Macaca fascicularis: one gene and its partners. The protein of the gene in region 3 purifies or fractionates together with the protein of the main gene of each other region. This does not show direct contact. Links are inferred from orthologs where the notes say so. Each region holds a gene or a part of one and is shown on either strand. Other genes may lie near its edges. The genes, in order: CHD4, ZNF516 and CTBP1.

The links.
Region 1: the proteins of CTBP1 (region 3) and CHD4 purify together in Homo sapiens (affinity purification with mass spectrometry; 3 studies listed by BioGRID and IntAct, with this or other methods). This does not show direct contact. The link is inferred for Macaca fascicularis from reciprocal best matches to the Homo sapiens genes CTBP1 and CHD4.
Region 2: the proteins of CTBP1 (region 3) and ZNF516 purify together in Homo sapiens (co-immunoprecipitation; 4 studies listed by BioGRID and IntAct, counting the BioPlex papers as one, with this or other methods). This does not show direct contact. The link is inferred for Macaca fascicularis from reciprocal best matches to the Homo sapiens genes CTBP1 and ZNF516.

What each region holds. Positions count from the first base shown.
Region 1 is NC_088385.1:7,493,126-7,496,773, forward strand, and holds part of CHD4 (chromodomain-helicase-DNA-binding protein 4), read right to left. Parts: intron 3,638-3,648; exon of another isoform or gene 3,546-3,637; intron 2,259-3,545; coding exon 2,063-2,258; coding exon of another isoform or gene 2,060-2,062; intron 103-2,059; coding exon 1-102. UniProt on the Homo sapiens protein: ATP-dependent chromatin-remodeling factor that binds and distorts nucleosomal DNA. Acts as a component of the histone deacetylase NuRD complex which participates in the remodeling of chromatin.
Region 2 is NC_088392.1:4,249,620-4,253,367, forward strand, and holds the start of ZNF516 (zinc finger protein 516), read left to right. Parts: upstream 1-878; 5' UTR 879-1,179; intron 1,180-3,748. UniProt on the Homo sapiens protein: Transcriptional regulator that binds to the promoter and activates the transcription of genes promoting brown adipose tissue (BAT) differentiation.
Region 3 is NC_088379.1:1,311,738-1,315,161, forward strand, and holds part of CTBP1 (C-terminal-binding protein 1), read right to left. Parts: intron 2,166-3,424; coding exon 1,951-2,165; intron 522-1,950; coding exon 391-521; intron 1-390. UniProt on the Homo sapiens protein: Corepressor targeting diverse transcription regulators such as GLIS2 or BCL6. Has dehydrogenase activity. Involved in controlling the equilibrium between tubular and stacked structures in the Golgi complex.

The DNA of each region.
Region 1 (3,648 bases), on a different chromosome or scaffold from region 3:
TCTGTAACCTCACAGCAACTGGGGGAATTCGGGCAATGGTAGCTGGGAGTCGAGTCACATCGGCTTTCATGTCACTCAGCAGTTCTTCCAGCTGTTTCAGAACTGCAAAGGGAGAAAAAGAGGTGGTGAGCTGTGGTGGCCAAGACTGAGGTCCCTCTACCCTAGTGGACCAGCATCACTTCTCAGTGACCAAGTGACTGTGATGTGTTATCTTCTGTCACCTGACCTGACCTCCACCATGTTCAAATTCCTGCTCCTCATATTCCAGTTCCAACTGTTCATGATTTTGTGCTCTTAAAAGTCACCTAAACCTTCACTATCCCTTACTATTATTGTATTTCCTCTTCTTGAGAAGCTTATTCCTGTTTTTTCTCTTCTCTACCTTCAGAATCTGTCTCCCACCTCCATTATAACAGCATTCTTTTCCTTATTTCACCCTCCGCCTCCTCATAACCTTTTACTTTAATTAGAAACAAAACGCTGAAAGGGGTCTAGAATTTGAAGGGATCTTTTATCACCTGAAGTTACCTCTAAAGTATCCCAAATGACACTATATTATTCTGCTTTGCTTTCCATCTCAAGAACCTGAATATATTTAAAGTTAAAAGAGGTGGGGCCGGGCGTGGTGGCTCATGCCTGTAATCCCAGCACTTTGGGAGGCAGAGGCAGGTGGATCATCTGAGGTCAGGAGTTTGAGACCGGCCTGGCCAACATGGTGAAACCCCATCTCTACTAAAAATACAAAAAATTAGCCGGGCATGGTGGCGGGCGCCTGTAATCCCAGCAACTTAGGAAGCTGAGGCAGAAGAATCGCTTGAACCCGGGAGGCGGAGGTTGTGGTGAACTGAGATCACGCCATTGCACTCCACCCTGGGCAACAAGAGCAAAACTCCATCTCAAAAAACAAACAAACAAAAAAACAAAATTAGCAGGGCATGGTGGTGCATGCCTGTAATCCCAGCTACTCAGGAGGCTAAGGCAGGAGAATCGCTTGAACCTGGGAGGCAAAGGTTGCAGTGAGCCGAGATCACGCCACTGCACTCCAGCCTGGGCAACAGGAGCAAAACTCCGCCTCAAAAAAAAAAAAAAAAAAAAAAAAAAAAAAAAAAAAAGGTGGCCAGGGCGGGGCATGGTGGCTCACGCCTATAATGCCAGCACTTTGGGAGGCAGAGGCAGGTAGACCACTTGAAGTCAGTTTGAGACCAGCTTTGCCAACATGGTAAAACCCCATCTCTACTAAAAATACAAAAACTAGCCGCAAGTGGTGGCGCATGCCTATAGTTCCAGCTGCTCGGGAGGCTGAGGCAGGATAATTGCTTGAACCCAGGAGGCAGAGGCTGCAGTGGGCCAAGATCACGCCATTGCACTCCAGCCTGGGCAAGAGCTAGACTCCATCTCAAAAAGAAAAAAAAAAGGTGGCCGGGTACAGTGGCACATATTTGTAGTTCCAGCTACTCAGGAGGCTGAGGCAAGAGGATCACTTGAGTCCAGGAGTTCAAGACCCACCCGGGCAAAATGTTGAGAGCCCATCTCTTTTTTTTTTTTCCGGAGTCTCACTGTGTTGCCCAGGCTGATAGCCAGTGCAATGGCACGATCTTGGTTTACTGCAAACTCCACCTCCTGGTTTCAAGCGATTCTCTTGCCTCAGCCTCCTGAGCAGCTAGGATTACAGGCATGTGCCACATGCCCAGCTAATTTTGCTATTTTTAGTAGAGATGGGGTTTCACCATGTTGGCCAGGCTGGTCTCGAACTCCTAACCTCGTGATCCACCCACCTTGGCCTCCCAAAGTGCCGAGATTACAGACGTCAGCCACCGCGCCCAGCCAAGAGCCCACCTCTTAAAAAGAAAAAAGAAAAAAAAAAAAAAAAAAAGAGGCAAAGAACTACTGTCCTTGATTGCCTCTAACATATTAACTCCCCAAGGATGGCAAAGGTCCCTACCAACTCCTAAACTCTCAAAGGAGCTCTGAAAAAGGTTTGAAAACAAATATATGTACATTGGGATGCAGTTAGATGAGGGAGGAGGCCTAATCAGCAGGAGGCAGGGGAGCCACTGGCTACCTTTGTGCAGGACTGCATTGGCTGGCTTGTTTCCTGCCATTGACTCCTTGGACAGGTGCTGATGACTTTCCGCCAAACACTCCACCTCAGCAAAGCGGGTGTTGAGGGCCATGGAAGGGTGAGAAGGGTCTTCTGACATGTTCAAGTAAGCAGCCCGGCGCAGCTGTTCCTCAATCACCAGAGCTTGTTCTAAGAGCTGGACAAGGGATAAGAGGAAACGGGAGTTCGACTGATAACTCACTTTGCTTACTTCTGACTGGCCTCTCAGCTCACCTCTCATTGTTTCTGATAGTAATAAGAACCTATAAATAACTTCATGGACAGCTCATTCCCACACCCAAGCAGTTTAACTTTGGCTTGTATCTTTTTTCTTTCCCTTTTTCAATGTCCTCGTTTTTAAAACTCTTTACCCTTTAGATTCTCTTATACAAAAGCAATAAAAACTCAATTTAGAAAATAGAATATCAAAAATTAACAACAGATGATCCCACCTTCTAGAAATATATCCTGATGTTTTTCTTTTTAGGTTTTTTTGTGCATAGTTTTTTACATAACTGAGATCATACTATATACATATCCATATTATGTTTTCATTTAGTTACAGTTAAACATTTTCCTTTTTATCATCTACACTTTATCAACTACTCTTCAAAAACACGTTTTGGCTGGGCACAGTGGCTCACACCTGTAATCCCAGCACTTTGGGAGGCTGAGATGGGCAGATCACTTGAGGTCAGGAGTTCAAGACCAGCCTGGCCAACATGACAAAACCCCATCTCTACTAAACACACAAAAATTAGCAAGGTATGGTAGTGCACACCTGTAACTGCTGCTGCTCAAGAGGTTGAGGCAGAAGAATGCTTGAACCCGGGAGGCAAAGGTTGCAGTGAGCTGGGATCATGCCACTGCACTCCAGCCTGAATGACAGAGGGAAACTGTCTCAAAAAAACAGGGTTATTTTGCTATTTTAAAATATTTTTTTTATTTCCTCTTATCGCCATCTCACTTCCATTCCTCTGAAAAGCAACCTTTCTAATATAGTAATACTGTGGCTTTTTGTGTAGGTTTTTAAAGACTGTGTTGTTTCATATGTATGTTTCTAAGTTACAGAATGATGTTTTCTGTACCTATGCTTTTTTTCTCCCACTACATATTTTTTAAAAGGTACACTTATGTTGTATGCACATGAATTTTGTTGCTTCTGTTGTTTAATGCCCCATAATATGAATACATGTTTTACCTATGCATTCTCCTAATGCTGAACATTTAGGTTGCCTCTAGGCCCCCATCACCAAAAATCATACTGCAGAAACACTCATGCATATGTCACCTGATGGAGCTGTATTAAAGGTTCTTTGAAATATATCCCAAGAGGCAGAATGTTGGTTCTTAATTTATGAAAAGATTTTAATTACTTAAAAAATATATTCATAAAACCTATGACTCAACATATGAGATTTCTTATACGCTTCTCCTCTCCTAGTGTCAGCCAGCACTTCTATGCAGATGATTTGATGCTTCTCAAACATGTACCTTGAGCACTGGTTCTGATCCCGCTAGTGTATGGTGATGCGGGTAGGTAGTGG
Region 2 (3,748 bases), on a different chromosome or scaffold from region 3:
GTGGCTCCTGAGAGCACTGGCCTGTGCGCCCCTGCATGCAAATCACAGCTGACCGTGTGAGCACTCACCGCAGGGGAACAGCCTTCCACCGCCTCCACCTCCGCCTCCTGACCAAGCCCTCTAGCAGCACCAGGCCTCAGCTTCCTCATCTGTAAGACAGGGGTCAAAATGGTCTTAATTCTCAGAATGTCATAAGCATGAAATGAGAACGTGCACAGAAAGTCCTTACTCAGGTTTGGTGTGCGGTGAACGCACAATAGAAGCGGTGATATGTGGCCGGGCATGGTAGCACAGGCCTATGATCCCAACACTTTGGGAGGCCGAGGCGGGCCGATCACAAGGTCAGGAGATCGAGACCATCCTGGCTAACACGGTGAAACCCCGTCTCTACTAAAAATACAAAAAATTAGTCGGGGGCGGTGGCGGCGCCTGTAGTCCCAGCTACTTGGGAGGCTGAGGCAGGAGAATGGCGGGAACCCGGGAGGCGGAGCTTGCAGTGAGCCAAGATGGCGCCGCTCACTCCAGCCTGAGAGACAGAGCGAGACTCCAAAAAAAAAAGAAAAAGAAAAAGAAAAAAAGAAGTAGCGATATGTATGATGATGTTCTTCGTCACAGAAAGCATGGAAAATACAGAAAGACACAGAGAAGACAGTAAATTCACCCAGGGCTCTGCTGCCGGGAAACAGGTCGTAACACGATTTGAGGTGGGGGTGCACGCGCATGCGTACCAACACGCGGGCCTTAGGAAAATCAACTCGGGATCCCAGCGTGGACCCACACACGCGGCTGCCATTCTCACCCGCTTTTCTGCTTTAATTTTCTCCTTAAATTGGTCATTTGCTGTGAAATGCACATTCCACTTCTGGGTAGTGTGCACCGCCCTTCTCCCCCACGGAGTGCAGGAAAGTGGCAACGCGGCTGTGCTCCAGGCCGAGGCCACGCAGCTGGGGGGTGGGGGGCGCACGCGGGGGCGGCCTTGGTGCACGAGGCCTTTCATTTGTTGGTTACAGCTGGAAGAATTCGGATGTAGTTGTTGACCGAGAGAAGAATCCAAAACTGAGGAGCGGAAAATAACGAAGAATGAAGAAAGGAAACAGGAAGAGGTTGACCTTATGGATGGAAAGGGAGCTCCTCTTTCTCCAAAGCCAGAAGGAAAAGGAAGATTTAGAGCAGAGGAGGGTAAGTTTCCCCCGGATAATATGGATCCAGTTGCATAATGCGGCCAGGATGTTATCTGCAAAGAAGCTGTGGGGAGGAGAAGGCAGAGCAAGGAGAGCAGGGCTGAGGTTGTGGGAGATTCAGCCGGAAATGACAAAACAGAAACAAAACGTGACCAAGGCCATTTGGGGTCCAGCTGAAGTTCAGTGGCTTAGATGTGTAGCAAGCCCCATGAGCACTGTTGCACGACTTGCCCACAGCTGTTCACATATGGACTTTGCAGCTCTCATTCACTCCAGCCGTGGCAGGAGAGCCAGAGAGCCAGGCAGGTGCGTGGGAAGGGAGAGAAGAAAGGGAGGACGCGCTGCGGATTCCGTATTTACCCTAGTAGTCATCCAGACACGCTTCCCTTTCCAATCCCCAAAAAGGAAGAGGCAGAAACTGTCTACCAGTTAGACGGGAGGTGTCAGTGCCCCTGGAGGCTGTGGCCATTGCCAGGGAGACCCCACTCTGCACAGCTCACAAACACACCGTGTGTGTGTGTGTGCGCGCGCGCGCGTGTGTGCAGGGTCCTCACCCGCCCTGGGCAGCAGATGGGGAGTTCTACGTCCACTTTGTCACGCAGACAATGAAGGGGACCGCAGAAGGGGCTTCCCCAAGGACACAGAGCCAGTGGCCGCCTCACTGTGTGCCCCTCAGCAGGCGTTTCCACACTGCCTGGCAACTTTGAGAACAGCCGCTCTCGCTCGGTCTCCAGTGAAACTTGAAACCATTTGCATCTGCAAGTACTTTACTTATTCCATTTGAAAGGCATGCACATTTTTAAAGGGACACTGTTTTTAGCTCCTGCGTCCCTGAGTCATCCCGCATAATCTGACTTTATGAGACAGGGTCCCCTAAGGAGTGTCCTTGTCTTGACAGCCCTGTCTTGAAAGCTGTGCAGACCAAGTGGTGCCATATATATTGTTTTAAACTTATGGACTACCTAGAAAAAAGGTGCAATAGTAAAAAAAGCAAAACTTTTAATATTCAATGACAAACACAGACAGAAAATATGGAAAAATTAAATGTTAATGTGTTGGGATGACTGGATTTTGAACACATTTTATTTATTGAATTGATATGAAGTTTATGGAACAGGGATAAGTAGAGCTTGTTTCATACGATTATATATTTAGGTATTCGCTGACATATATCTGTATACATAAACATGTATGTATCGCTGTGTTTACATATGGACACACATAACATGTATGCATAAAACACATATATTGGTACCAAATTACTAAACCAGAAATTGTGTCGCTCATCCTACTCTATTATATGAAACATCAGGCAACAGTAGGTATTGGAAAATGCCAAGTCTGCGTGATCCCGGCAAGGGCAGATCCTGGCACTGGAGTTCTGGAATGCATCTCTCCCCACTTGGCAAAGATGCAGGGTGCAGAGGGGGTGTTAGCAGAGGGCTGGGTGCAGAGGGGGTGTTAGCAGAGGGGCTGGGTGCAGAGGGGTCGCAGACCTACCACAGGAGGACTTTATCAAGAGATGTGGGTTTTCTGGACATCCAGGACACCCACAATGGGGTGACAGAATTGCCTGTGGAGTGGAGTCTTAGTATTGAACTTGGCAGCTGCTACCGGATGCTCTTCTGGCACCTATGTTTTCAGAAAAGCAGGAGCTGGCCAAGAGTATGTGCCAGATTTCTCCCTGGATTGGACTGATTCTGCACTCAGCCCAGCTTTTTTTTTTTTTTTTTTTTCCGAGACAGGTCTCGCTCTGTCACCCAGGCTGGAGTGCAGTGGTGTAAGCTTGGCTCACTGCGACCTCCACTTCCCCAGTTCAAGCGATTCTTCTGCCTCAGCTTCCTGAGTAGCTGGGACTACAGGCGCCCGCCACCACGCCCGGCTAGTTTTTGTATTTTTAGTAGAGACGGGGTTTCACCTTGTTAGTCAGGCTGGTCTCGAACTCCTGACCTCAGGTGATCTGCCCACCTTGACCTCCCAAAAGTGCTGGGATTACAGGCGTGAGCCACTGTGCCCAACCTCAGACCAGCTTTAATCTGAGGGACGTGCATGCTCTCCACAGGCCCCACCAGTCTTTGTAGGGTCCTTGGCCCTTACGTGCATTTCCTCTCTGAAGAAGTCCTTCCTCCACCATGTTGTCCCAGCCTGAAATTGTCCCTCATTATGGAGACTTGAGAGGTGTCTCCCACTGACTCCTCTCTCAAGGGGTGAGGGTTTGCCTGACCAGACACCAGAGCTGGGGCACACCCCCTCCAGTTCACCCTGATGAGCTCCTTAGGCCACCACAGGGTCAAAATCAGGTTTAATAGCAGCAGCATTCACAGTAGCCACAATATGGAAACAACGCAAGCATCCCTCCGCGGGTGAATGGATAAGTAAAGTGTGCTGTATCTCCACAATGGAATATTATTCACTCATGAAAAGGAGGGAACACTGGCATATGCCACAACGTGGATAAACCTCGAAAGCCTTACGCTGAGTGGAGGATGTCAGGCACAAAATAACCATAGATTGTTATGAGCCCAGTTGTATGAAATGTCCAGAACAGGCAGATCCATAGAGACAGA
Region 3 (3,424 bases):
CCTCCTGTGGCTGACCATCCAACCCAGGGCTGCCTGGGGTCCCAGGGCGCTGCAGGGATTGCAGGTCTGGACATGACGCCATGACTCCATGGCCAGGGCCTGTGGGGACCACTCACGGACACTGGGGCCTCACTCTCTCCTGGCTGGTGGGGAGCCCTGCCCAAAGAGGGGCTGAAGAGGACGATCAACCCTCACAGGACCGAGGCGAGGCAGGCCTGGAGCCCGTGGCTCCGTCCTCACCCCACAGTGAGCAGCAAACTCCCCCGTGCCAGCCAGCGAGAGGCCTGAGTACAAGCAAGTGCCCGGCCTGGCAGAGGCGCCATCTGCAGGTCAAGGCCGGCAGGATGGTGGGCAGGGAAGAGCAGGGAGTGACACTGGCTGTGAGGGCACCTGAAGGGTTCCGACTCGTGCACGTCCAGGGCCGCGCCGCGGATCCGGCCCTCCTTCAGGGCCTGGGCCAGCGCCTTCTCGTCCACCAGGCCGCCCCGGGCTGTGTTCACCAAGAAGGCCCCTTGTCTCATCTGGAAGACATGAGGACAGGCCAGGCCCAGTCAGGGTTCCGTGCAGGGCGAGCGGCCAGGGAAGCAAGGTGGTCACGCACGCTGCTGAGGAGCCCCAGCTCCCTGGCCCCTTCCCAGCCCAGGCCCACCCTGGGCTCACCAGGGTGCTAGGACTTAAGACCTCAAGCGTGCTGCGCCGCGGCCCTGGCAAGCTGGCTGAGGTTCAGCCCTGTGCAGACCTGCATGGCCCCACACCTCCTAGAGAGCTCTACGTTCCTGCCCAAGCCCTGAGCTGAGGACTGGGTGGGGGCTCCTGGCTTGGTCCCCCTGTGGTATCCCTTTTCTGGGTCCCCTCCAGCCCAGCCTCCCCCAACAGGGCCTCGGCCCACGAGGTGGGACTCCCTGGGATGACAAAGCCCAGGGCCATCTACTCTGAGGTGTGGTGTTTGACTCCAACCCCAGTGGGGCCTCCGGACACGCTCACTTTTCATGCACTTTTGCAAAAGGCCCTTGCAGTGGCTCCCTGTCAGCTTCGTGGCCAGGGCTTTCCTGCAACCCCCCCATTTCATTCCGAGGAAGCCCACCCAGCCATTGCGCTTGGGTGGCAGCCGGGTGGGTCATGGTGGCTTTTCTTTGGTGAGTTGCTGCCCATTGCAGCCTCACACCCAAGGTCCTCAGGGATGGCAGGGCCCTGACCAGCATCCACGTGCCACACCCTGTCCACTAGAAGGCTCCAAACCCACTGGCTCTGTGAACAAAGGAAGGGGAGGTGGGCACCTGGTTTCATCCTCCCTGTGGCTACAGGCTGCTGGGGCAGCTTGAGTGGGTGGGTGGCCTCTGACACGTGTGTACACACACGCACACACAAGCTCAAACGGGCAGACACAGGCACCCACACACACTTGCCCACATACACACACATCACCGTGCACACATAACGACTCCCTGAAAGGCCAACAGCCGGCGGGAGGCAGCCGTCCCGAGCTCCGCCCACCCGAGCTCCGCCCACCCGAGGGAAACACGGGCTGAGGCTGCGCTCTGCGCTGAGCTGAGGCAGAGGCCGACCTGAGCACAGCCCTCTCCAGCTGCAGATGTGAAACCTGAACCTGGCAGCACAGGATGGAAGTCAGAAGGGCAGGCCCAATGCCCCCAGGTAGCTGCATCATCTCCACTGTGACAGTGGCAAGAGCTTCAGGGGAATTTAGGATTCAAAGGTATGTGGTTCTGTCTTATCCAGAGAGTATTTCAGGCATCCTGGGTAGAACTCAGAACATGGAAAACGCCGTCTGGGCAGACAGGGCTTCCCCCAGCAGGGCCGGCACCACCGCCATGTGGCTCACTGAAGGCAGGGTCTCGCCCAGGTGCAGGTGGTTGCTGGGAGGGACCTTCCTGACACCCCCACCTGTGCCTGCCCCGCAGAAGGAGAGCCCTGTGCCCCAGCTTCACGCACCTGCTTGACGGTGAAGTCGTTGATGAGGTGGTGGTTGTGCTCGTTGAGGCCGCAGTGCAGGCTCACGCAGTCGCTGTGGAAAAGCAGGTCCTGCAGGGTGCTGACCCGCTGCAGCCCCAGCGCCCGCTCCACGCCGTCCGACAGGTAAGGGTCGTAGAAGAGCACGTTGAAGCCGAAGGCCTTGGCCCGCAGCGCCACCGCCTGCCCCACGCGACCTGGTGGTGTCAGGACACAGTGTGAAACCCTCGCTCACCCGTGGCTGGGAGGCTAGCCCTGACAGCCAGGATCGGAGTGGCCCCTGTGCCTCAGTTTGACCATCTGCCAAGGACACCAGCTGTGGTCAAGCCAAGGTGCCGGCGCGAGGTGTCTCCACACGAGGTGTCTGCTCCCGATGCGCCCACTGCCAAGGTGGAGGCTGTGCACGGGGGTGGAAAGGGTGCACGAGCCCCTCGGCCCACACCAGCTGCCAGCCACGCCCCCCCTGCAGCCTGTCCACAGGACGTGACACGAACCACTCAGTGTCAAACGGACCGTCAGCGGGTCTCCACTCACCCCACACACGCCCTATGTGCCCAGGTCCCTCCACTGGCCCGCTTTCCGGTCCACCCATCGATGTCTCTGGCATCTCAGTTCCAGCCACGACTAGGTGGAGACGGCAAAGGGGGCGGGAGGGAACCTTCCAGACCAGGGAGGCCCCGCTGGGCTCATGTCCTGTCCCCTTCCAGTGGAGTGGCAGAGAAAGCCATCCCGGGCAGACGTGCCTGCCCCGACCCCAGCAGTCCAAGGCTGGCGTGGGCCCCAGCACAGGAGCCACGGAGCCAGAGCCACCATTTCTGGCTCCTCCCTGGGGAAGGGTCGGCAGGGTGCATGCGCCCACCGTGAGCCAACAGCACGGCTGCAAGGGACACAGGACTTCGGAAGCCCAGACGCGGCTGCGAAGGACACAGGAACCCAAGCCCGCCAATGTGGTGTCTCCTGCATCGCCTCAGAGGGAACCGCTGCACAGGAAGGAAGCCGGCTGGGCGCTGGGGCAGGTGGGAAGCGGGTGCAGTTTCAGAGGTGGCAGCCAGGGCAGGCATCCCTGAGAAGACCAAGCTTGCTGGAGACATGAGGGGATGGGAAGGGAGCCGAAGAGCTGGAACAACACGTGTGAGGGGCCCACGGTGGCGGCGGCCTGAGGGCCAAGGAGACCAGACCGCCAGGCAGACAGGGCAGCCAGATGTGGCCCAAACGCCCAGGGGACTCCCAGTCACTTGGGAACAGCCTGGGGGAGGCTGGGAGGCCAGTCAGAAGAGCTGAGGACCGTCTAAATACACTACATCCTAGAAAGGCAGGCGCCTGTTCTACCAGAAGGAATATGGCGGCTCCTTTCATCCCCAGGGACGAGGCTGCTGCAGGAGGCAACCGGTCCGGGGAGGAGGGCTCGGCAGGCCGAGGTGGGAGAAGCAGTTCCGAGGTCAGTCACAGCCGGAGT